Lepisosteus oculatus: one gene and its partner. The protein of the gene in region 1 binds, or shares a complex with, the protein of each later gene. Links are inferred from orthologs where the notes say so. Each region holds a gene or a part of one and is shown on either strand. Other genes may lie near its edges. The genes, in order: ptpn22 and pstpip1a.

Region 1 (12,838 bases):
CTCCCTCGATATTCCCATTTCACAAAGTTGTCGCTGTCTGCCAGAATCTCACACCAGTTGCGTGATTCTCCATGGCACCAGTACTTCTTGTTATACAGGTATCCGTTGGTCTTGTAATGACAGACGACTGTGAGAGTTCCTGCAACGGTGCTTTTCTCCTCAGCTCTGTCACAGTGGAGCTGGACACTACCTGGTAATGAACATTCACGTCCTTTAATACCTCTAGTTTCTTATGTGCCAGGCATCTAACACATAGATGTGCAGTGCTGTACACACACCCAAATAACACAACTGTAAATAAGATATAAGCAAGGATTTCCATTATTGAATTTTGAAACAAAACATCTGTGTCTTTGCTAAATAGAAATGTAGTATTTTAAGACAGTATGGCTTTCACTCCCTTTTAAGAGCAGGTCTGGTGTTTCCCTGTCCTGAACTCATCTTTCCTTCTGCTTAGGCAATCTTACCAGTAGCTGCAGTGGATAAACAGCCTCACGTCATAAAGCTCTAAGCTTCAAAGCAGGCAGATTTCACTTCTTTTGGAATGCCTTGTTTGTATTGTGCCAATGATATGGAAGTTAGGTTTTTTTAAAAAAAGAGTTAGCTATGCACCAAGACTGTTTTGACAGTTGGATTTTAGAAATCACCCATGTCAAACCATTCTAAAGTCGCATTCTCATCACCTATTCATCCGCATGGTCTGGATCAGTGTTACAAAAATCTAAAAAATTAAATAAAAACCCTGTACTTGCCTTTTATCCCTATTGCATGTTTCAAGAAAGAGAAACAATTAAAGGTTTTAGTTTTGAAACCTATTCAAATATTCCAGATTAACCATAAAGGAGAAAGCAAGCAGGCCTTTAAAAAAAGATGAGTTAGTACAATTCTATGATGAAAAATGATCCGAAAATGCTATAATACTGACACCCTAACACCAAGAAGTGACTGGTTGAAGTGTCCGCATTCAAAAAAACTAAAAAATCCAGCTGAAAAATAAGATGATATGTTATTTTCATTGTGTTAAAGTAATTTTTCTGTTTTTAAACCATCCATCTGTTCATCTTCTGTTATCTTCTCCTGGTGAGGACTGTAGTCATTTAATGTAATGCCCTAACTTTCTCTCTCCACTTTAAAACAAATCTATTCTTTCTGCACTTAATTTAGAATTGTGTCAATTAATCTCTGAGATTTACGGTAAGAATGCAAAAACAGGAATTTCATGAAATCTTTCTAAATTAAACGATTTTACTGAAATAATTAGGGATATTCGTAAATCCAAATATTTATCATTCTTACTATTAATATTAATATACTGTACATCGGCAAGCAATCACACAGCCAGCAGATGTAACTATTGGCCTTAATTATTGATGTAATTATTTCCCAAACTGTGCTTCACGAACGATGATATCTGTTCAATGTTTACTAGACACGTATTTATCCAGCGTAAAATTGATCATAAGATATTCTAGTTAAGATTTCTAGTAAATTAAGATAATTTAAGACATACTGTATGGCTAGTGTACCTTATTTGATCTTCCCACAGTAGTAAATTATTGAATAACACTGCAGGAGATGGTGGGCACAACCTCTATACAGTATTGTCAGAAGTTACTGGTACAAGATATTACAAAATATCCTGATACTGTACGTCTGTAACAGACAGTGAGCTACTCATAAAGAGACAAAGGCAGACAGATATGTACAAATTCTTAGTATATCATTTTACATCACTTGTAGTTTTATTTTTTTTCTTCTGTACAAATTCTTAAAAACTTAATCTGATGGCTGGTAGAAATATGTACTTACTCTGAAAAAGCAGCATTAAACACAGGACTCTCATCACGCCAGTTTACCTGGGGCATGTCAGACAACAACAGGATGCTCTGTTCAAGTGGACTGTGGTTTTGTTGTCAAAGTGCCGCATGCAAACATATTCACTGTGGTTTTTTCTGGTCACCTTTATTACGAGCCATTTCTTTGAAATGGATGTTTTTGCAGAAATCGTATAGATGAGGTAATTTTCAAAAATTCCTCTGGTAAATTTGGCCTTTGTTTTTCAAATCACCCCTATACAGTAGCTATTGATTATAGCTTACCAATTAACACCTTCAAACAGTTTAAGAGTAATAAACCCTTTTCATCACCCAGAGGTCAGAAGAAACATGGGGTTTTTCATCTCATCTTCAACTGTCTTTTTCAGAAAAAAAAGTTCAAGTTCAAGTTACAGTGGAATTAAATATTGGTCCTTCTGGCCCATGATGCAATTACAAACAAGACACTGACATTGTAGACAGGATACACATAGTGCAATTACTACTAAAAATAATAATACTAATATTGATAAATAGGATGGTTCAAACTAAGACAGTGTACACCAGAACAGAGGCAGTGTACACAGGAGATACTCATTTACTCATTTACTCAACTATTACAGAATAGTATAAAAAATACATCTTACAGTGAATGGAAAAAAAAGGTTCATTGCACATTTTGCAGATATGCAGGTTCACATGATAAGAAAGCTGTCCATGCCTGGCACTGAAGCAAAATGCAGCTGCAATCTTTCTGGTGTCTAGCCTTGCTCCACTGGTTGAGGTAACATACAATAAAAACTCTTCATTCTTACTATGACGCTGAACCTCAGAAATGCCATCCCTCTTTGTAGAATTACAGGAATAAAATATTTGATTTGATCAGTAAGTTTAATTTAAAGGCCAGTTTAACCAGATGTCTGGGCAGGTCCAACACATTGCATGTCAGTGTGTAGCAAATACAGTACCTCTATGGAAACAAAATACATTACATTCATGTAATGACACGGAATCCCATAAATACCAAAGAATAAGGTATTTGTGAATTTCGTAATATGGGCCCCATAAACAAAAAACATTATAGAAAGACTTTATTAAAGGAGCACTTCATGATGTCACTATTCGATTTGCTACCCACAACCTAGAAAGCAGTGTGCATCTGCAGTGATTTCGTTTTTTTACTGTATGAAACCTTTCAGTGTCTTTTGCCGGATTTCTCAGAGCTGCCACTAGAGGGCAGATTCCATTTGAATATAAAAGGCAACTTTATCAGAACTCAGAGCTGCAATTTCATATTGCGCTTAACAGCAAATACTGACACAAAACTTTCATGCAGCGGAGAAATACATGTTAAGTAATAATTTATTGATCACCACCGATTGTTGTTTTTTTTTGCAGTTGAAGGGCACACTGGCGCTAAGTATAAGTACAGAGAAGTTTGTGATTATATCATTCTGGCTATCATCTGCCAAGGGAAGGTGAATCAGGAAAGAGATCCAGCATTTCACTAACATCCACAGAATGTGTGGCTCACTTGTTGGAGATCAACCCAGTGAGATCTGAGAACATAGGAGGTCCTGATGAAGAGAAGGTAAGATGATAATGTTGGCTGGACGTTTCAATCAAAACTCTATTGTGCAACTGATTTTTATACAGAGATAAGCTTGTAGCCCTTCCAGCCCTTCATAAGAAGGCCTTTAGGCAGATGCACAACAACGAGGAGTGGAGCTCATATCATTGGTCCTCCTCCTCACCTGCAGGATTTGGAATGAGGAAAAAAATCTGAGATGATTTCTGGGATGCCATGAGCGTGTGGATATTACAGAGGTTTCTCTGTCTATCACAGGGCGATCATCAGCTACACCCTTCAGAATTGTCAGTGTGTGCTAAGGCCAGAACTGACACAATGTTCACTGTTCACCAGTGGCAGGAAAAGACAGAAAACTTTCTACTACTGTATATGGCTTTTTTTGACTTTACAAAATGAAAACCACTAATTGTATCAATGAAGAAGCCATATAGAGAATCCATGTGAAGTACTGATGCCTTCCAAATTTTGTCTTTGCCTGATAATAAAAATGATAATATTTGAGCACTGAATGACAGTATCTATCATGACCCCCCGTTGAAGTTTAGGCAAGAATCAAGCAAAGCATGATATCATATCTGGTCACCACAGTCTCCTAGTTGTTGTTGCTTGTTCTAAATTTTCTGATGGAAGAGTATTTAACTCTTTAAAACACAGCATGTAAGGTGTTCCATAGACCCATGACACAAAGTGTTTTAAGCTACCATTGAGACATGAACAGACCTCTTTTAACATCCACTAAAGCCCTCATCTATGATACGGATCCATCTGACTTTCTTCTCTATGCACCACTGAACCATGGCCTCCATGGTCAAAGATCTAAGAGTGATCATGAGGTCCAACAGCTTATTGTGGTTTAGACAGGAGATAAAAGGCTTCCAACAGTGCCATGAAACCAGAATCATTCAAATGTATGTATTAAAGATATAGTGAACAGTGATCAGTCCAATGATAAGTGATACCTGGTCTCTTCTTTCATTTCTGAATGAGCTCTCATTTTTTAAATGCTGACATATTTGACATTTTGTGAGATATTTGAAGTTTTTCGGGATGGTGACAGACAGTAACATCTTTATGCTCCAGTCATGCTTCTGTTTTGCTCTTAAGGTATTCAATGCATTGTTTAACCGCTTTAAAATATGCAGTTTCACGTAAGTGACTGGGCGTTTCTGACATGGGAAAAAATGTTCACAGAACCAGCATTACAGTCAAACTGTAATTAGATCAAATGCTGCTAGCTGTAATGGCATCAAAGCTGCATGTACTTTCCAGAAGCCTGCTCATTAATCAACTGACTAGAAGTGCTCATGACTTAATTAAAATAATATCAGTATCGTTTTATTGAAAGCAATAATGCAGATTAATGTGGAATTAAAGGTGGACTTGTTGCACAAACAAGCAGCAAGTGCCTGTTGGGACTCCTTTTGAAAAAAGTTAACCAGATTTTTTCAAATTTACCATTTTTTATACTTTGTGCCTTATAGCTCAATCTCTACAGTGGCTGTTGTAAGACAGCTAAAATATGCCCATTTCCATATGGTCCAAAACAGCAGCTACAGCAGGACTGATCCAGCTACAGGAAATGTTTGGTTGAGGTCATACTGTACTTACATTCACATACTTTTTACTTTTTTCAGCATAGACACTAAATGTTTAAACAATGTGCTCAATGTAGTCATGAAAAAGTCACAATTGTTTATGTGTTATTTGTTTAATCAGATTGTATTTAATTATTATTATGACTTATCTGAAGAACAGATTGCACTTTAGGAGCACGTAATTAATACAGGAATACAGATGATTCCGAAGGGTACACAAACATTTTTCTCACAACTGTAAGGTTGGTTTTTATTCATGTAATAAATGAAAATTGGATTTACTCATCTGAAGTACTACAGGAGAAGTGCCAGAAGCTAGATTTTTGAACAGACAATTTGTCTTCATTCTTAGTTCCCTATAATAGACTGGCAGGCTGAAATTACACTTCCTTAACCTCAGGATAGAAGTGATGCACACAGAGGTCTTTTAGAAATGTGATAGGGAAGGAAATAGAGGCAGAAGATATTTCTCCTTTTGCTTCACTATGTTCTACTTGATAAGATCCTTTTTGAAACGCATGGACTGTGCTCTCACTGACCACATTATCACAGCAACCATGAAAATATATCAGTGGTAGAACTGAAATATACAAATGCATACAATGTACAATTTTCCATCTCTTGTGAAATGTTAATTTTTAGAAGGCTAATATGTTTCACTTTCAGAAGCATACAATACACCAGTAGACATTATTTAAAAAATGTATGCATTATGACAAGCCAACCTACAGCCCCATATAGCACACAAGCAGCCTTCTGTTGAGAATCTTTGGAAATTTTCAGACAAGAAAAGCAAGTCAAACACTAAATCACAACACTGAGCTGACAGTCTGTTTGAAAAGGGAGCAAAATGAATTCACAAAGCATGTGAGTTCACTGTTGCAGCACCTGACACTGTTCTAGGCTGCAGAAGGAGCTGCACAATTCAAAGATAAGGATGCCAGTAAAGGAGAATGCATTCCTGAAACACCATGCTTACGTCAGTGTCACAATTTCCTGTTTAACATGGCAAAACCTTTTAAAAGGGGTAACAAAAGAACAGTTCTTCGAAACCTGTTGGCCAAGAGTACGTTTTATGTCATGACTGCAAATCAAGTAAACTCTATAATTGTACTTTTAAGACTTGGTTTGTCTCATCATCATCAGAAAGGGATGTCTAACTTCATACGTTGTTACTTGGCATTAAATATTTTCAAATATGTCATTTTCAGACATATCAAATCCAGACAGAGAGGTGAAAAGAGCTAGCTCAGCAGAGCACATACTGTAAAATTCACTGGAATCAATAAGACAGAAGGCACAGAGAAATGGGTCTTACCAATTTCTTTACCAATGGGAAATACCTTCTTGGGACTGATTAGCCTTTCAAACTGGATTCTGGGAGTGATGAATGCTGTCTGACTGGCTGTGCAGCCTCACCGCTTCTTGTTTTACATTTCCTAATTCCCTGTCTTGAAGCGTGATTGTGTTGTTGTCATTTCACTGCACGTCTGTAGGAGACTCTCGCAGCACAGCACACTAATTGTCCACACACATCACAGCACATGCGCACACTCAATATGGGAGAAGAGAAACGGGCTCTAGGACCCTGCATGACGGATGATATTTTTAATCTGACCACAGAACCTGTTAGCTATGCTTCCTTCAAGACAGCTCATGCAGTTCTTAACCACAGGCTCATTGGCAGTAGAGGCTGTCAGTGTGCCGGTCCCACGAGCCCCCAGTCCTGACATGTCCTACCCCAGCTGCAGGACACCCAGAGGACAAAGGGACTCAGCATGGACCAAAGGAGCATCCTGAGGAAGTTCCTGGACGAGATGCAGACCAAGGAGGCTCAGTCTGAGGAGATCTTTGCCAGCGAATATTTAGTGAGTTCATTCTTTCAAGCTGTACTTTGATACTATAATCTCCTTTAGCCCACATGAAACAAGCTCGGGCTTTGCCTCAATTAACTGAAGTTCACAGGAGTACAGAAGGAAAGTTTACAAACAAAAACTGAAAAGTTCTGAGCGCCGACTCTTTCAGTGCTGCACTAAGGAAGAAAAAAGTTTAAATCCCTTATGAACAATTCAATTCCTCTATCTTCTCATATTCTTTTTATTAGTATTTAAAGTTTTATAGTAAGTACTGTAAGATGTGGTAATGATGGTCGTCAACAATAGCTGTCGGCTTAGATATATAGAGTGTAAATGTATAGCAGCAACAATGTGTTCATTATGATATACACATGATGTGCATGTAATGTACCGAATGCACTGGTCTGTTAAATTTCTTCTACTTATGCACTATATATTGATAGTATATCTATATGTATAGTTTATAAACTATATTATGACTACATTTTTAGCACCTCTCTCAGTATAGGCCTGTAAAATAGAGTAGCTGATTTAAAACACTACAGTGCGTCTGTTTAAAAGGCTGGAAGGAAGTGATCGATGTGACGGAGTTAGTATCGCTGTCTGTAAGGCCAGGACAGAAAAGGCATTTAGTAATGCACTTATAATCACCTCTAACTCAGCACGAGCATGTAAGAGTGATATCTCATGTTAAAGAATTTTCTCAATTATTAGAGTGTTAAATATTTCCACAGCTTGTTCCTGTATGAGAATAACTGATACTATGCCATGTTGTGGTTTTACCCCTTATGTGGTGTTTGTAGAGTTCCTTGAAAATGTTCCGGTCTGACCATCATAACATGTCAGAAACAAAATGAAACAGGAACTCAAAAACAAAAGACAAATCTGCATTTTTGTTTTCTGCAAGTTTTGGTCACATTCATCTGTTAAAATCAAACTGACAATCCATAGGAGAGTTTAAAATGCAGTCAGGGTGTCTGAGCACATTGTTCCAGAGGTCCCGTTTGGGCCAGAATGTAGCACTGTGTCTGCCTCCTCTCCCTGCTGGGGCACTTCTCTCTGTAAATACTGCATGGGTGATGTGAAAGAGTACTGTATTTTTTCTCACCTACATAAATTTGCAAATCTACCTTTTGTAAGACAAAGGACCAAATTCCTTGTGCTGGTGGACACGACCTATAAACTTTGAACTTGAAGAAGACACCATTTCTGTATGTCTGTTTGTGTTTGATAGGGTGGGTGTTTTCCTAATTTACCAGCAGCATGAAAACACTGGAGAAACACTAAAAGTTTCTCATTGATTTTTAGACTTACTCTGAGCTCTGTTATTACTTACTCTGTTATGGAACAGTGTAGGCCGCTCACAGTTATGGTCTCATCACAGCTCTTGTTTAAGTGCTGCATGTTTAAAGGCAGTACTGCTTCTGAATCGTCCATTACCTAAAGTAAACTAGACACTTCTAATATTAACTTTCTTAAGCAGAAAGATCTTTATACTGTATTTATTTTTATTTTTATTTTTATTCTGTACTCTGTATTTTAACATGTTTTTCTAAAGTGTGAACTTCTCTAAATGTGACACTTCTGTTATTAAGAGCCTTGCCTGTTCCCACGAAGCCATTAAAGCTAAAGCACATACTGTAAAAATGTAAGAAAGGTTATGAGGTTGGTATTTAGAGGCTAATTGATCAGGGGATCATATCAACCCTTTTCTGGAATAAAAGCAGGGTATTGGCTTCAACAACAGACCTGAGTTGCCATAGTTTGCACTTGTATTGGTTGGTTCAGATTTCAGTGGTGAAGTCCACTGAGTTGACTGCTACAGTTGCTTTAATTGATTTTGACTATTTAAAAATCAGGTTCCTCATAGTCTTCTCTGTTCAAGACTAAAAAGATTCAGTTCCTTCAGCCTGTCAATGTACTCTCCTTTGAGACCAGGAATATATCTTGTCGCTCTACCCTAGAGCAGCATTTATAGCATGATTAAAAAATTGTACACAAAATTCTACAGAGATATTACTAGTGCAATTGTGTGCAATTTCAATACAACATCCCATTGATTTGAATTTTACACTTATAACTAAATGTTGTAACACTCTGTTTGCCTATTCTCATTGATAACACTTGACTGAACAGTTTTAGTCAGGCCTCGTGGCAGGAATAACACACTAAGGAAATGTTTACTACCCCTAGGACACCCATGAAAAACGGTGGTGCGAGGGGGGCAGTAATGTAAATGGACTAAATAATCACTTTTCCTATTTATGATTTCATTATCTCTGCATTTTACCAGTACCTCTCCATTCCCATTGCACTCATTTTACTGACACTTTTTATTCCTGCTGTGCCTGAGTAAGCACGCAACTCGTTAAACAACCCTTCATCTCTTCTCATTATGATGAATTAATGAGTAAAGGTCTACTTTCAAGAAACCTCTGAGGCTGCAGATGAGCCAAATTGCTTTGAATGGTAAAAATAAACTGCTGGTTATTGCTCTACGTTACAACCCATTTAACCTTCTCGTCCTCTGTTACAGACTTAATGCTAAAATATCAACTTTAAACAGTGCTGTTCTGGTGCTGATGGTTCTTTTGCAGCAGGGTTCTGTGGTCTTATGATATTATCAATGATATTCACTAAAAGAACCAAAATGGCGAACATGTGTTTTTATCACATACTGTACATACCTGAAACAGTTTTGGTTTGAATGGTGATAGGCTGTGGATTGCTGTGACACGGAACAGACCTGTATTGCACACTGTTACTGCGAGGAAGGATTTTGTTTTGGGGGATCTTTGTTTCTAGTACAACCAGTATTGACCAGAAGGAAATAGAAGCTGATGAGTTGGATGATTTCCTCTCATTTGTGGTTATTTTTAGATAGACTTGCACTCAGTGATGCCTTCGATGCAGTTTAATTTTTTAAACATTGTTGCAGTCGTGGCTTAAAAATGCAATTGTGACTCTCAAATTAATCATGGCACTCCTAAAGCATGATCCCAGGTTCAGACAGTCTGTCTGACTGGTCAGTTTTACAGTGCATGCTCTTTCTTCACATAAAATGTCAGGATTTCTTGTACCACTGTAACTTTTGCAACATTAATTGTCTGTACTGTTCAAATTTATAGGCTCAAAGTCAATTCATTCTTTTTTATTCATGTATCTCAGTGCGGGTTCTAAATAGAAACTAGTAGACTGCAGAGAGTTTGGCTGGCATAACCATACAATTAGTATACAATGCACACACCGCAATAGATTGGGACATTTCTCTTGTTTTTTGCACCAGTGCTTGTGGGAATGTTTTTAGAGCCTGTCAACATGAATAACAAGATGTGATACAATGTAGCACTAGTGTTGCCACACTCTACCCAATACCATCCTAAATTGCCTCATGCACAATTAAGCTGGTAGCTCTATCAGCAGGAACTGCGTGAACTACCAATGAAAAGCTCTCACTTTGGCTTGAATCTAGGCCCTGTTGTTGCAGTTCACTCTGTTGAGCACCAGTCTCGAAAGCAGAAAACATAAGCAGAATGTGTCTTTTTCTAAAGTAGCACAATGCACTATAAAAGCAGACAGGGTCTGTCCCCAAGCCTTGAGATTGTGAGAGACACTTTCTGACATAAGTACCAAGTCACAAGAGCACAAAGAAGTATGGGAAATCACCACTGGCTTTGTGGCAAAGAGGAAACATCCTTTATTTTTAAGATCACTGGTAGCATGACTGTTCTTTTAAAAGAAATGCAGAACTTCACGCTGGTGGACAGTGCTAAGGGAAACTCACCCAAACTGCACAAACACATGCTCTGTCTTTGAATCGTCTCATTCTTTTATCAGTTTTAACCTTTCATAGTGGCTGCTTCATGTCTACGTGAACAAATAAACATTAATACGTCAATTATGCAAAGACATTTTTTTATGTCAGTACTCTGCATTTATCCTTAATGAAGCATTTCATATAATTAATTAATGTCTAATTACAGCAAATCAATCATATCAAGCAGATATGTAATGTATCCTTGAGGTTTGTTTGCTTTCTTTATGGTTGTTTGACATTCCTAATTAAGAAGCATTAACTTTTAATTGAAAAGGTTTGAGCTGGGGGCTGTGTCAGCGTACATTAGCGGCAAAGGAACAAGTACAGTAAATTCAGTGCTGAACAGCAGATAGATGAAAAGCAAGGTTCTGGCTGCTGAACCATCTTCAGGTACATTTCTTTCTACTTTCCACCATTAACCTTTTTTTCGGCTCCTTGATTTAGGTGTATGCTTTGGCATCTAATGAAATTGTCAGCAAAGGTTTAGGTGAAAATTTAGTGGGAAATGGCCAAAGGCGTCAATATGTATGTGTGAGGTAAACAGTAAGGGGTTTAGGTCACCGCATGTCTGATTTCCGTTCTGCTGCTGAGGGAGTGGAAACTTTCTGCTACGAGTGCTCGCTCGACCTCTTAGAATTTCCATCACAGGCGCAGAAAACCCCCTGACCACAAACTCAATGCGCCCCTTGTCTCCAAGAAGAACTCCAGACAATTCATTATGCGGAGGGGTGAACACCTACTGAAATATGTTTTCATGATATGATGACTGAAATACTGTACATTTTGCTGTAATTTCTCCTCTCCTGATGTGACCCTTATGAACCACTCAAGATGGTTCAAAGATGACTCGGGTTGTATGACATTGGATTTGTGTGACATTGGAGCATGCCAGGGTTTCACAACAGTCTGCAACAGCCGCAGATTATCACTCCACTGAAACTTTTCATGACCAGAATGAGCAAATTATTACCTTAATGGACCAATTAAGGAACTTTTAAAGGTAGAGATACTTTAAAGCAGGGCTTTAAATCTCTTTTGATCCCAATGTTGGACCAAGAGATAAATAATTAAATCTTTAATTGTATTAAACTTTTCATTATTGAATCTGAAGTTTTAAGCTCTTACACTGAATTTCAATTAATCTATCAAACTGTAAGAATAAAAGGGCAATTTTGTTCCCAAAAAAAGGCTCTGTCATAGCTGTAATTAAGAACATTACTTGAATTAAGGGTTAGGTAAAGTAACAGAGATTCCAGCTAGAGTGAAAAATCTGCTGGATCTCCTTCTTCAAGGAGGGGATTTGTGAAGCTAAAAAAATTGAAGAAGCAGACAGGACTCAGTCTTTCTAACTATACATTAAAAATACCTAACTAAAATGGTTAAAAAATGTCATTTCTGTTCATGTGTCTACATTACTCAGTGTTAGAGTTGAGTGGGTGGCACTGTACAGTGCAACGCTTGTGTCAATAGTGAAAGGGTGCCTATCTGTTGGTCCTTAGGGTAGCAAATACAGCATCCTGTGAGCCTCACAGCCTGGGTTAGGAGATTGTCACAGAATTTCATCATGACTCAAAACTGATTGGCTGGATCCATGCTTTCACTTCCTGCAAAGGGAGCCATTTGGGTCTGAGCATTACACAGCTGGACTGCTTCCTGTTCAATTTAAGTAAACTAAAGTTCACAGTTAAACTGAAAGTTACGAGTAGAGATTCAAGGTTAGTTACATACAGAGTACATGAGTGGTTTCCTAAGAATCTGTTCCGCTTCTGGCAGAGACTTAGAGTCTCAGAATCTCAGCCTCAAATATGGTTACCAGTATTGTGTAAAAAATAAACACCCACATTATGGGTAATTTCCAACCTACTCCAGTAAAAGTCATTGTACTGTATACACTTTCAGTATGATACGTTTTTCCAACTCATCAAGTACATAAAAACAAGCCAAACCTAAGCAAGTATGATTTTATTTCGTACAGGACAGATGAGGGCTTTACTGTGAGCTCCAGCTCACGAAACACTGATTTAAAAAGTCATGCAGCTCTAACTGACACCATGGGAAGTTCCCAGGTGTCTAGGTCAAATTATATTTACCTGTGCAGCAAATTAAAGATAACTTTGCACTGCCACTTGGGCTATCAATGTCAGGTGAGCCAAAGAAATTACACC
Region 2 (13,174 bases), about 22 Mb from region 1:
TGTATTGAAAAAAAAAAAGTTATTTCAAATTCATGCTTGGAGTAGGTTACAGGAAGATTACATATTTTTCTCATCTTAAACAACCTTCATGTCCAATTGGAATTCAGCTGAAGTCATTTCATTCGTGACACCAGGTATTTAACTTTGAGGGTTAAGGGTTTTTCATCCTTTAAACCAGGTCGGCATAGAATACAGTGCTCATGCTGTCTACCGAACATCCCGGACTTGCAACTCCGAAACCTTACAACAGAATAACACCAAGAACTAAACTAACGACTAGATAGCCTTAACCTTTTTTTTCTTCTGATCTCACCAACGTCCAACTTCCAAATGAACTATTTTTGGCATAACGTCACTCTCATACTTTGTACAGTACTTCCTATTGAAGGTTTCCACAGGGTAGGTGTTAGTCTATGAAAACGTAATGGCTTTCTAATGACAATTCAGAATGATAGTAATTCATGCGCTCTTAGAAAGCTCCCAGCAGAAAGGTTGTCTCAGTGCCAGGGGAAATCACACTACGGAAATGCAGTGGGAAAGACTGACACATTTAATCGTGGACGTCAGGTTTTGCTGTTGCTGTTGAGAAAACGTTACCAGCATCGCCTTTGCCCAACTTCAACCTCCAGTCCCAGTTGCTCTGCGAAGTGAACGCAAAGGGAGGAGGAAAACGTTCAAATGTAGGTAACATTCAAGTTCAAAGACACATGTAGGCATTTTATCAATGAATTGCTTTACAAAATAAGTCAACATTGTGGTAAATGTGGTAAATTAAGTGAATGTTTTTCTTCAGTGCTGCGTTCCACTTCAACATTGTTTCATTATTCAGTCAACAACGCCAACTGTCCCGAAAACTGCTACTACTGTGTGGGAGGGGGGCCTGTCAATATTTCACCTAAAACCCTGAGCTTCTGCCCGGTCATTGTTAATGTGTCCCCGAATTCACTCCTTCCCGGCGTCATTCCCATTTATAGTCCTTCATGACATTCGTACTGTAAGGCGAGTGCACGCTTTTGCAAGAAGAGAAGGGCGTATAGAAAATGAGTTGGAGGTTCGCTTTTTAAAACAAAAAGAATCAGACCCTGGTTAGCCTTGTGATGTGATGCCGTGCAACAAAACCGCTAGATGAAAATACGGGATCATCAGAAATCTGTAGGATCCAAAGGACAACTCCACAAAGTCGCTCCCGGTCTCCTCTCTCCTGAACAGCTCAAATATAATCACCCTTATTTAAACACGCATGCTTTACCTTTGCTAACTAAAACATAGCAGGTGCACACATTTTTAATTTGTCTTTAAAAGGGGAAAACGCGTATGGGGGCAGTACATGAGGCCAGCATTATACAGACTACTGTATACCGAGTCATATCAACGTGATCAAGCAAATATCTGCAAACTCAACCAACGGGAGGCTTTACCTTCAGGGCGAGGTTGATGGGAGTGTTCCTGCCTTTGCCTCCTCCATGCGATGATCCCGAGCTGTTGCTCCCCGATCTCTCCCTCCCATCCCCGCCTGGGCCCGCTCTCTTCCCCGCTCTCTCCCTGCCATCAAGCGCCGGGCCGAGCCGGTGCTGGCCAGCTCCACGCCGCCTGCCTTCGCTGCGGCAGTCCTTAGACATTGGGCAGGCGACGAAGCTTTTCTTTGTGATTTCTGATCAGGACGCCGATAAGATTTGCGCCTTAATGTGATGAGCTGCAAACCAGTGGCAAGAAAAAAAAACTACACAAGGCACAGCTGACAGCTCCTAGACAACCTAAAAAGAAGCAGGAAAGATTCTGACGCTTCGGTGACAGGCACAAAGATTAACCAATGATTTATAAGCTTTAGACAACAGGGCGGGTATAAGACGTAAGACAGCCAATCAGACATAAGAATAATGAGGTCAAAGGCTGTTAGGGTAGGTAGAACCGTGGCAACCAGGTAACCGAGGGAGGTACTACGTAATATGCATTTTGATTGGTTGATTTACGCAGCAACACAAACAATGTAAACAAAAACTGTTCTCGACTGTGAAGGTATTTTTCGGAGAGAAGTATTTGCCTACTAATCTAAATCGATGTGAACTAGACATGGTTGAGTAAGAATTATTCCACAGCGATCAGAGGATCATTCAGTATTAGAAATCAAGTGTACTGAACCGTAACGTTAGAACTTTAGAAATAAACTGTAATTATTTATTATTCGCGTTATCTCGAATACATTTGCAAAGGAGCATATAAAACGGATTTTTAAAAAGTCATAAAACATCGTTTTAGCATTGAACGTTGAAGATTTTACCACCGATAACTGAATATTAAAAAAACACTCCACTTTTTGTTTTATTTACACCGTTGAAATGGGAAATATCGCTGCAGTAATCCCATAGGCAGCTGTTAGAAAAATAAAATGGAGAAAATACATTTTTTCCTGGCTTCGTCAGGTACAGCTCTTAGAAAAAAAAATTGCATTGTTGTATTTCAATGAAAACAAAGAAAACGACTCTTTCTCATCGGAAGTGACGCCAGGGGTGTCGGACCCATAAAAAGTGGGGTGTCCGCTTGGGTACTTTTGTTCAAGTTCATGGTCAAATGTGGGAGACGTTGGCACGTAAGGTAACTATCTACAAGTACAGGGGTTTGTGCAGTCAACGTTGGAGCTGTGTTCTCGGCGAAGTTCTCTGTGTGCTTGGGAGGTTAGGACATCTCTAAGCCCTGACTAGCTACATTAATGACAACAGGCTGTGAGCTTGCTCCCACCGCTGCGCTGAAGTTTCGTGGAAAAAGACCATCGGTTTCCAAAGACAAACCGTGGCATCGCATCGGCTGTCACCGATTAGTTCGTTTAGTGCAAGGTTTGCAAACTAACGGTGACATTTAAATATCGTTAATCGATTAATGTCGACACAGCTTCGTAAATGCCCTGAGCTAAAGCAGACGTTAAGAAGATTGTAACAATCTCTGGTTGTCTTTATTTGTAGATGTCCAAGTTGGACTTTAGTCTTACTGCCTCTAGGGGATTTTGGAATGCTCTAATGGATTTTAATGACTTAATAGAAAGCACCAGAATCACAAACCATTTTAAATACCGAATCACGACAATTTTGATTTTATTCTCATTTATAAGGTGCGCATAGGTTCATTTAAATGTTGAAAATATTTTCTGCCTACTACAGCTGATCTTGTTTAGACCAGCTCTGCAGGATGCTGAAGTCTGCGCCTAAACCGATAACAAGTAGCCTAACGATGCATGCGTTGTATAGGAGTGACACGCTTAAACTGAGCGATAGGTTTAGTTTCAAGATTAAACGTATTGGTTACAATATATTCGTGCGCTTGATCTGTTTTGAGGATCCTCAATTGAACTGACCGACTTCTTACTTGTCCCTGAGCTGAAATTCCACCAGGTGGCACCCAAGTCCTGGGAGTGTTGAGCTTTGCTTATAAGGGGTTTTTGCTTTCAAATCTTGCAGATCTTACATTCCAGTTCTTATAGAGGATGAAGCGCATTATCTTGACTTGGGCGCTGTTTGCACTCTGTTCGTGCGCCTCTGAAAACAAGGCCAGCACCTTCAATGCTGAGGATCCTGAGTATGACGGGAGCATCTTCTTCAGAAATGAGGTAAATGGATTGAGTCTCCATTTTGTATCCCATTCAGGGATTATTTTGGAATGATTTAACATTTTCTTTTAGATATGATGGATATTTGGTGCGGTTCTTGTACATCACTATTGGATCAACGCATTTGATTCCAAGGTTAATTCTAGTGGCAACATTTTGGGGGGGTTTCCCTTTCAAGTGCTTTCTCACATTTCACACTGTTTTGTAACCCTGAGGACCAAGATGAGATCGAGAAGCTCAGTCCAGAGGAACAAAAACGGAGGCTGGCAGTAATTGTGAAGAAGATTGACACAGATTTGGATGGCTTTCTAACTGAAGGTTGGTCCACTCCCAATGCATCGTGCATGTAAAAGTGAATATCTGCATCCAATATTATTTGTGTGAACCCATATATTCTCTCCATGGCTGCATGGTGTCTAGGATAATTGGCATCTCTAAACTGGCCCCTGTGCGAGTGTGTCTTGCAATAGGCTGTCAGTTGTCTGCTTTGTTAGGCTCCAGATCACAATAATCTCATGTGTCCCTCTCTAAACTAAGCAGTCACTGAAATTGAATGGATCTGTGGGCTGGTGCATTCGATTTTGAAGTCTCCCTTGTCATGATAAATTGAAATAAATCACATGGCTGTTTTAAACCCCTCCAAATTGTGACCCTTTTTTCCCCACTTCCCCAGGCGAGATCAGTTTATGGATACAGCAGGTGTATAGACGATATGCTGTAGAAGATGTGGCAGAGAAGTTCTTGGAATTTGATAAAGATGGTGATGGGGCTGTATCTTGGAATGAATACACCCTGCTGGTACATGATCGCATCATTGACATGGACGAGGATAAGGTGCCAGAGAACTCTGAAGAAAAATCTCTTCACTTCGTAGGTTCCGTTTTTTTCTTCAACTTTTGCGTGCTTTGGCTTGGGGAAGTCATGTGATGTTGTCTGATTTTTGTCCCCTTAGTTGCACTTGAAGGAAAAGCAGCGCTTTGATCATGCCAATACAGATGGGAAACCCGGTTTGAATGTAACAGAGGTGCTTGCTTTTTTGCATCCATCAGAAGTGGACCATATGTCCGTAAGTTTATACTAATTACATACAATATGTATTTCTGTATCCGTTCGCACAATACAATTCCAAACATGTGTGACTCGTGGGAAATGTCTGTAAGGTACTGCCCACATCCATTTGCTTGATTTGGACACTTGTTCAATTGTAGAAGTATGCCATCGAGGACGTGTTGAATGAATACGATCGAGACAACGATGGGTTTATCAGTCTGCATGAATTTCTAGGGGATCTTCGAAGTCCAGGTAAGTTATAACCTTATGCATAAACTTAAAGCTTAGTTTCCTCCATGTCAGGTGCTCTAGTTTAGCTACTGCCCATCAGCTGGGTACAGTGCCTTGCAAAAGCATGCAGATCCTTGATGCAAGTTTTCAAATGTTGCTGGATTACAAATGATACTTGCACATCTTTCCAGTCAGGACTGTTATTGCAGGCTCACATGCTTGAACAGAAAAGGGCACTGCAATGGCTCAAGTCAGAATATCCCCACTGAGCAAAAGCCACAAACTAAATCCTCTGGAAAGCAGAAGTAAATTGTAAAGAAAGGAGATGAAAGTTCATGATATTCTGGTTTGTTTCACTGTGACGGTAACCACAAGTGTTTTAGACCAAGTTAAGCGGGCAACTTTGAGCCCGCAGCTGTCCTTTGCTGTGTGTTGGAGTTCTAATTGTGGTCTTGTGGATCTGTGTGTGTGTTGGATCAAAGATGGAGTAAATCAATCGCAGTGGGAAATTGAGGAGAAACTGCGTTTTGTGAACCTCTACGACCGGGACAACGATGGCAAACTGAACTATGAGGAGCAGCTGCTGTGGGTGGCACCCAATAGTTACGGCACAGCAAGGGAGGAGGTGAGGCAGCCCTCTCAGTTCAATAAAAGACCTCCTGCTGCAGTGCTGCAGCTTCTCGCACTCTAGGATCTTGATGTTTGAAGAATTCATGCATGCTTGCAGCAGAAATACAGTTAAGGATTTCTCTAGCTTGTCACAATCGTCAGATTTAGTATTATATTTAATTTGGTGGTTGTTACTAAAATTTGCAACTGGCAGAGCAGTTATAATAAGTCACGAATGTCTCTGTTAAAACAACATCCTAGACTTGGAGTATGACCGTGATATGAGTGCAGTCCACTGAGCAGCAGAGCCAACATTCCAGGGAAAAAAGCACAAAAAAAGTTTTCTGTGCAGATTGGCAGCTTGTCACATGTATTCTTTTCAGAACAACTGTATCATTATATCTGTTTGCAAGTTGAGGTTCTGTAATTCATTTCAGTCTTTTTCAAGAGCTAGTGCTGAAACATGTTTACATGTTTGGAAACTGCATTAATCTAAATTACTCTCCAGAATGTAAATTCAGGGTGATCAAATCTTTAAAGAATTCTGGGATAATTGAATATACATGTCATGAAATATTAAGTATTATTTTAGAAAGTGTATATGAGTCCTTTAAACTCTGATTCCATTTTCTTAGTATTGTCTAAGAATGGTGTGCAGGGTCTGGTTGACCTGAGTGCACTTTGTTAATTAAAGACTTTCACAGTAACAACATAACTAACACGACACCGTTAACTTGATATGTTGATGGAGAATAAACTGTGTAGGAGTTGCTGAATTCAGTTAACTGAATTTAAACCCAGCATCCCTGTTTAAAATAGGAGTGGAGACTAAAGGGATTAACAGTTTGCTCTGCATTTCTATTATTGCACATATCAAATGCTTGTTAATGTTAGTTCAATAAGAATTTATATTATTTTATTACAGTTCAGGGATGGTCAGAATGTTTGGCACATCTAGAATCCTAATTTCATTTGTGATCAGCAGGGATGATTTTAACAAGGTCGTTTCACAGCTGTTTTGGATGGCAGTTAAATGCATTTTTTTAAAAAAAAAACAGGCTCTCCACCTGATCCAGGAGATGGACCGGAATGGGGATGGCAGGTTATCGGAAATGGAGATCATGAGCAACATGCAGACATTCATGGACAGCGAAGTGACCGACTACGGCAGGCAGCTCCATTCTGTGCATGATGAACTTTAGTTTCAAATTTTATTTTTTTATAAATAAAAATGCACTGTTTTTCCCCACTATAGTGTTAATTATTTTGTGTTGTGGAAGCCCAGGTGTCTACATCATGAGCTGTAAACAAGAAAGTAGGCACATCTTTTCCAGCCTGTGCACACTGACATGTGCTGGTTGTCCAGTCGTGTACAGTGTGTTTTTTTAAAAACTGAAATTAAGAACTGTTCTGCTCAAATATGGGGCAGAGTGGTGGCTCTGTGTGGCTAAGGGTCTTTACCTGTGGCCTGAAGGTTGCTGGTTCAAATCCTGTATCTGGCAGAGGAATCCTCCTCCGTTGGACCGTTGAGAAAGGCCCTTAACCCCAACTGCTCCAGGGGCGCTGTACAATGGCTGACCCTTTGCTCTGATCCCAAACGTCTCTCCCTGTCTGTGTCTCATGGAGAGCAAGCTGGGGTATGCGAAAAGATGAATTCCTTATGCAAGAAAGTGTATATGGCTACTAAAGTAAAGTGATCTTATCTTAAAAAAAAACACGGAAAAGTGTGAGGTCTAATATTTATAAAGTGGACTTCTTTTCAGTGAAGTTTTTATGCTCCTAAATAAATGGAAACTACAGGAAGATAGTTTATAAGTTTTTTTTAGCATGTTTGTTTTACGTTTGCCAGGACTTGATTCTTTGCAATTATTATTTTTAATTGATCAATGTAATGATGTCATATGAGTTATTAAACTTATCCTTTTGCTCTTCATGATACAATCAATATCACTGATATTGGGGGAATACTGGTAGATTAACTGTGCCTTACCCACCTCAGCTAATGTTACAAAACAGCTGTCAGTTCTAGGCTTGTTGGAAAGGTGTCAAAATAAGAAATGAGTAATACACAGCATTACTCAATTCTCGCCCCAGAACATGAATTTCCGCAAAGAGTACCTAACCAGAGACCACGTTGCATCATTATGCTTTTTGTTTTTTCTATACTTGCTCATACTGTACATGGACACCTAGAAAAGATACAGTGAAGATCCCAGGAAAGTTTTTTATAATGCACTTTCAAAGAGGAAAAAATAAGTATTCAGAGCAAAGAATTTTGGGAACCCCTGTAGTAGTTTGCCTAGCTATCTAAATTTTTTGGTAGGGCAATTGATTGACTTAAGAAATCATAACGAATTGCTGTAGGCAGGGGTGCAGAAAGGTTTTGAACACTGCTTGCCAATTAGAATGTAAATGAAAGGTTTAAAAAAAGAAACTATTTTTAGAAATATTTGATCAATTTCTCAGGTTTTAAATGCTTCACACCATGTCCACAACACTTTGTACCGTGCTGTACGGAAGGAAACAAAAGGATATTACAACCTATCGGCAGGGGTGTCATAATTGACACCATAACTGCTGTGACTTGTTTCTGCGTTTTGCAAGCCTTTCCTGGTAACGACTTGCACAATCAACTGCACAGCTCAAAACATGTTTAGCTTCTGTGTTGTAAAAGTGTTCAATCCTTTACCTTTTTTTAACAAATACACACATTTTCCCAGCACAATTTCAGCACAGAAGTCCTAGCTGCTGTAGCATTCAAATAACAATGCTTCGGTTTTATTTGCTGTCTCTCAAGCACCCTTCTGTGGTCAATGACATCATTTGACAGTTTCTTCCTCATTTCAGTTTAACCAGTGTACCACAAGCAGTGTAGTGTTAGAGGGGTTTTGTCTTTTTTTGTGACCATCTACCTACTAAGGAGTGAGTTTACCTTTCTGCCTCAAGCACAGGGAGTAATAAGAGGGGTTTGGATTTTTCTTTTTGGACTTCAAACTTCACGTTTTGAAATTACTGTGCTGATAGAAGAAGGATTTTCTCCTGACAGGATGACACAGCTGCAATTCAAAGATGCTTTTTGGGTAAGCGATTTCACTTTTGTTCAAGTGTTCAAGCGATTGGGGTTATGTGATAACTTAACAAAGAAGGGCTGAACAAAGAAAATACGCTTCAAAAACAACCATTGGACACAAGTCCAATAAAAAATCATTGATATTTGATGATATTAAATTCTGTTTTATTTTAATAGATTATGTTTTGAAATCTCATGCTTTCTGTGTTCTGTCTGCTCAAATGTTTCATAGGTTTCTTTAAAGTTAATGGTAAATGGTTAAGCATCCAGACTAGGGAGTGACCGTTGCTTTTAAGAACAACGAATCCTGCCTGCATTGTTAACAAATATGTACAATTTGATGAAAAACGTGTTTACAAAAAATTCAAAAACAATTAAGATAATACATAAAATCATATTTTCATTTAAAGTTTCTACAATGCTAAAATACAGCAAATATAACAATATAACCTCAACTCCCCAAAATATACTAGTATACACTCCTGTCCTATTCACTGGATAATACAATTTCAAAGGAGCTTACTGACTTTTAATTACACAATTCCTATTCTCTGAACTCAACGGTATTTGAAATGTTCTGTGTGAAATGTCCTTTAGCCTGCTGCTATGTTACAATACTAATATCTGGAAAGTCAGTACTTCCTCCTAAAACCTTTCTATGGAAGAGGCGGAATTGAACCTGAATGTGGTCTTAACTTTCCCTACTTCTCTGGATGTAAATTTAATGCAAACTCTGTATATGGGGTTAGATTTTCAAGAGTTCCAATGTTAGTAGTGTGGGATGCATATTAATTGGAGATATAAAATAAAAGTATTATTTTACTTTTAGGGCACAAGCTTATATTAACTCCATGGATGGAAAAGAAATGTGAAGGATCACATTCAAAAGATCATGCTCACAAAGCTCTGTCTTTCTCGTTTGAAGGCAATTGTAAAATAATTTTGGTGCCTCTCTTAAAATTGCTTGATTCCCCTCCCAAAAATAGAATAGTAACTACAAGAAAATCCATTCCTGAGTATACAATTGTCTTTTAGTGTGGGTGTGATTTTGATTTGGATTTTGGGTGTAATTATCAAAACCAACCCTCATTAGTTAGTCTAGCGATGAGTCTGATGCAAATGTTTCTTTTGGGCTAAACAGATTAATTGTAGCAGGGAAATGCTGCTTTTATAATGTGTATAAGGCCTTGAACAGCAAGCTAGAGGAGCAAGGGAGTGCTTTAAGGAAATGGTTTTAATACCAGCATTATCAGGGACCCCTTCTATGTACTTGGTCATTATTTGAAGCGGTCTGTGTGCAGTTACTTAGACTCACATTTCCTGTATATGGCGGTTTGGCATTAAGCATGCTGGATTTTTTTTTCTTTCTCTTTGAACTTTCCTTTTAAACCATTGTCAGAGCGTTCATCTAAAAAGCAACAGTCACACTTCTGGGTTCATTTGCATCAGTGCTTTCGTGCAGTACAGCTGCCCCCCGTGTTTCTTTGTGAAATGGAAGTGTGTGGCTGATGCACAAAGAATCCTAAGTGTGAAAAGTAAAAAAAAAAAAACTTTTTTTTTACTTGTATTGGCAATGCAAAGCTTTTTTGATAATAACATTAAAGACTGGACAGGGAGAGTATAGAACTAGTGAGGAGAAGAGCTTTGGGTTTTCATATACTACTGAAAGCTTGTTTAATAATGAAACAGAAATTCTGCTACCTAGTTACTGGAGAGGGACAGATTCACGTCTAGCTTCTGCTTTTTTTAATACACTAAACTATGTCCATAAAAGGATTTTTTTTTGGTTAAAAAAATACTCTAGTCTAGAACAACAAGTGCTTTTCTAAAAGGATACATTTTTAGGGAAAAACTAAAGCAAACACTCCTAATAACCACCAATATGAAACCGTTTTTTTCTGATAGACGGCCTGGTCATTTCAGGGTCTGGGTGGGACATTGCTTCTTTATAGCTCACAACAGCCCCCACCCTGCTGGGAGTGGGCTGGCCTCCTCTCTAAACCCGAATGTGCCAGGCCAGCAGATACAGTACTTCTTGGGTCCTGGGGCAAAGCCCTCACACCATTTTCAACCCCCACCCCTCTGCTGTCCTGTGGGTGGCACTAGGATAATCAAAGAAGAAAGAAAATAATCCTGAAGCTTTGTCATTTGCATCAATCCTTTTTCAAAGCCAAAAGCAGGTCTTAACAGAAGAGGAAATGTGACGAGAGGGGATTCTGTTGTAGTAGAAGTGCGTTAGGTTAAAGCGTTTCAAAACTCAAAACAGTATTCTATAGAGGAACAGTCAGTGTAACATTCTGGTAGGATTAAAGCAATTCTGTCCATCTAAGTGTTACGCCGGGCCCAACAAGGTGTTGAAACAGGCTCGGCAAAAATTAGAGTCAATGAGCCAAGATATGCAGCAATCAAGATAATTTATTCGATAACAGTGCTGAAGAGGACCAACAGAGCTGAGACTGAGGAAACAGCTTAGGCAGTAGCTGCACAGATGAATCAGGCAGAGCAGAGACTGAGGACTACTGAGAAATACTGCTGAGAACCTGAAACTGAGACAAACTCAAGACAGAGTTAGTGACTCAATGTCTGAACCCTGAGGAATGAGTCCTCAGGGCTTAAATACTGTGCGAGGTTCCCTAATTGGCCTGATAGGCCCGGCCTGATCTCGTTGAGGAAGGCCCCAGTGAGTCTCCAGCATGTGCGGATTGCGCATTGGCAATTGGTGGAGCTGATGCGGCAGTGCTGGAGCTCGTTGGGGCATAACACTAAGTATTTACGTTTACATTTGGATAATGCTTATCTGCAAAGCCACAATTAATATGCATGGAAATTATGTTATATTATAATTATATGTAGAAGAACAGCAAGACACACCAGGGTTATACTAATGGTATACAAAAAGCACCATCAATTGCACTGTATTACATTTTTGAATTATCAGCTTATTTCTGAAAGTACGAGTGAAACAGTCCTCAGATGCATAAATAGAACTGATAAAGAGAGCAAACATTTCTGTCTCCATCACAACACGCCAGAACAAGGCATGGTTTGCAGGAGTTTTTTTTGCCAAAATTGCTGTAGGCAGGCACACAAAAAGTATTTAATTGCTGTTTAACAATTTAAGTGTAAGTGAAAGGTATAAAAAAGAAAACTGTATTTTCAAGGAGGCAAATGGCCTGAAAACGTAACTATTAGGCTTGATTGTTAATTAGTTATTTTTACCATGTCTGACTGGCCTGGTCTTGCACGCATGCATATGAGGAAGTTAATCTTTAAGTGAAAAAACAAATTAAAAAAAAAAAGAGTTCCTTCTCCATGTCCAGTAATATCACTGAGCAGATTGCACAACACAACTTCGGGAGAAGGTATGTTCCTAAATTCTTGTCATCCGGATATTGTATGTTGTGCAGAATACTGGAGATGCGAAAATAAAATAATCCTGTCAGAGATTGGTATAGGACAAGTCAGCAAATTAGGAAGTAATTAAGATAGCACCTGAACTAACCTTTTCTCAGTTCTTTTCTGGTTCTCTGTGTGTTTTCAGCGCTTGTGGTTCTTCGTTATTGTGATTTTCTTCCACTTCTTAGAGTGGACGTTTTGACCAGTAATGCCAGCACCTGTTGTTTTTGCTTTGCATTTTATTTGCCTGACTGCCATTAGAAACAGAGCCCAAAGCAAGGTTCTGGCTCTGTATATGACAACACTTTTAGAGTTCTTTCCTGTTTTGGGGTAAGACTGTACTGTCACGATGTGCTTCTGCTGCAGGGCCAAGATTTCACCAATAACTCCGGTTATGAGGCTCTGCTACAAAGGCTGTATGATGGCCGGCGAATGTGCAAGGACATGGAAGATCTTCTGAAGATGAGGTAAGCACTGCCTGTGGACTTCTTGATATTTGCCCTTTTAGTGGATGGGAAAAGCAAGTGGCGTTGAGCATTGAGTGTGTCGTGAACATCACTGAACAGCTGGATGAGACTCTGGGATCACATAGCTCCTAGCAACCAATATCGAGGCAGAAGGATGGCCTTCCCTCATTTCTAATCTTTCTTATGTACACCTTGACATCTCAACTACTCTGGTTACATTAGTCTTCCCCGAAGTGTGGAGAACAGGGAGGTTCAGTTGCATACTGTGGAAGACACCAATTGCGAAACTGGTGCTTGGACCAGAGTCTAAACTAAACATTTCCTTAAGTAGCAGGTCACTGGAATGCAAGAACATCAAGTATGAGTAACTGTCACAGTGAGCTAGTCAGGTGGATAATTATTTTTGTCTGTTTAACAGTATGCTGGCTACTGCACGTGCAATGCCTCTCATTGTATGAAACAACTTTTTAAATGAATATTGTTATGAAAATGGTTGAAATCAGCAATTGACCGTGCGGTTAACTCATTAAGTAAAATAAATATTGATAACCCCCAGCTTGTAAGTGATTTCTCCAGAATATACCCAAAGTAGTTGGTATAATTAGAGGCACGTGAATCTTTTATTTTTTGGCACAGCTGTGGTGAAAATAGTAATAATTCAGATGCACTTGGTTAAACAAATGTTTATTAACAATGACAAGAAAAACACTACACTACAAACAACAAAACATAAAACACACAAGTTATACGTTT

What was found.
Region 2: the proteins of ptpn22 (region 1) and pstpip1a are in contact, whole or in part, in a crystal structure (PDB 7AAM), measured with the Homo sapiens proteins. The link is inferred for Lepisosteus oculatus from reciprocal best matches to the Homo sapiens genes PTPN22 and PSTPIP1. Residues at the interface, in NP_057051.4 of Homo sapiens: Ser793, Lys794, Pro795, Gly797, Pro798, Arg799, Asn800, Pro801, Pro802, Trp805, Asn806; in NP_003969.2 of Homo sapiens: Thr225, Arg228, Asn229, Trp232, Asn236, Ser239, Met240, Cys242, Val243, Asp246.

Annotation. Positions count from the first base shown.
Region 1 is NC_090700.1:35,037,163-35,050,000, reverse strand, and holds the start of ptpn22 (tyrosine-protein phosphatase non-receptor type 22), read left to right. Parts: upstream 1-6,653; 5' UTR 6,654-6,778; coding exon 6,779-6,868; intron 6,869-12,838. Other genes in the region: uncharacterized protein, read right to left, coding at 1-190, 1,810-1,843. UniProt on the Homo sapiens protein: Acts as a negative regulator of T-cell receptor (TCR) signaling by direct dephosphorylation of the Src family kinases LCK and FYN, ITAMs of the TCRz/CD3 complex, as well as ZAP70, VAV, VCP and other key signaling molecules.
Region 2 is NC_090700.1:57,240,057-57,253,230, reverse strand, and holds the start of pstpip1a (proline-serine-threonine phosphatase-interacting protein 1a), read left to right. Parts: upstream 1-8,115; 5' UTR 8,116-8,535; coding exon 8,536-8,568; intron 8,569-12,320; coding exon 12,321-12,421; intron 12,422-13,174. Other genes in the region: scaper (S phase cyclin A-associated protein in the endoplasmic reticulum), read right to left, coding at 1,419-1,619; rcn2 (reticulocalbin-2), read left to right, coding at 3,476-3,598, 3,814-3,916, 4,272-4,468, 4,551-4,664, 4,807-4,900, 5,362-5,504, 6,547-6,690. UniProt on the Homo sapiens protein: Involved in regulation of the actin cytoskeleton. May regulate WAS actin-bundling activity. Bridges the interaction between ABL1 and PTPN18 leading to ABL1 dephosphorylation.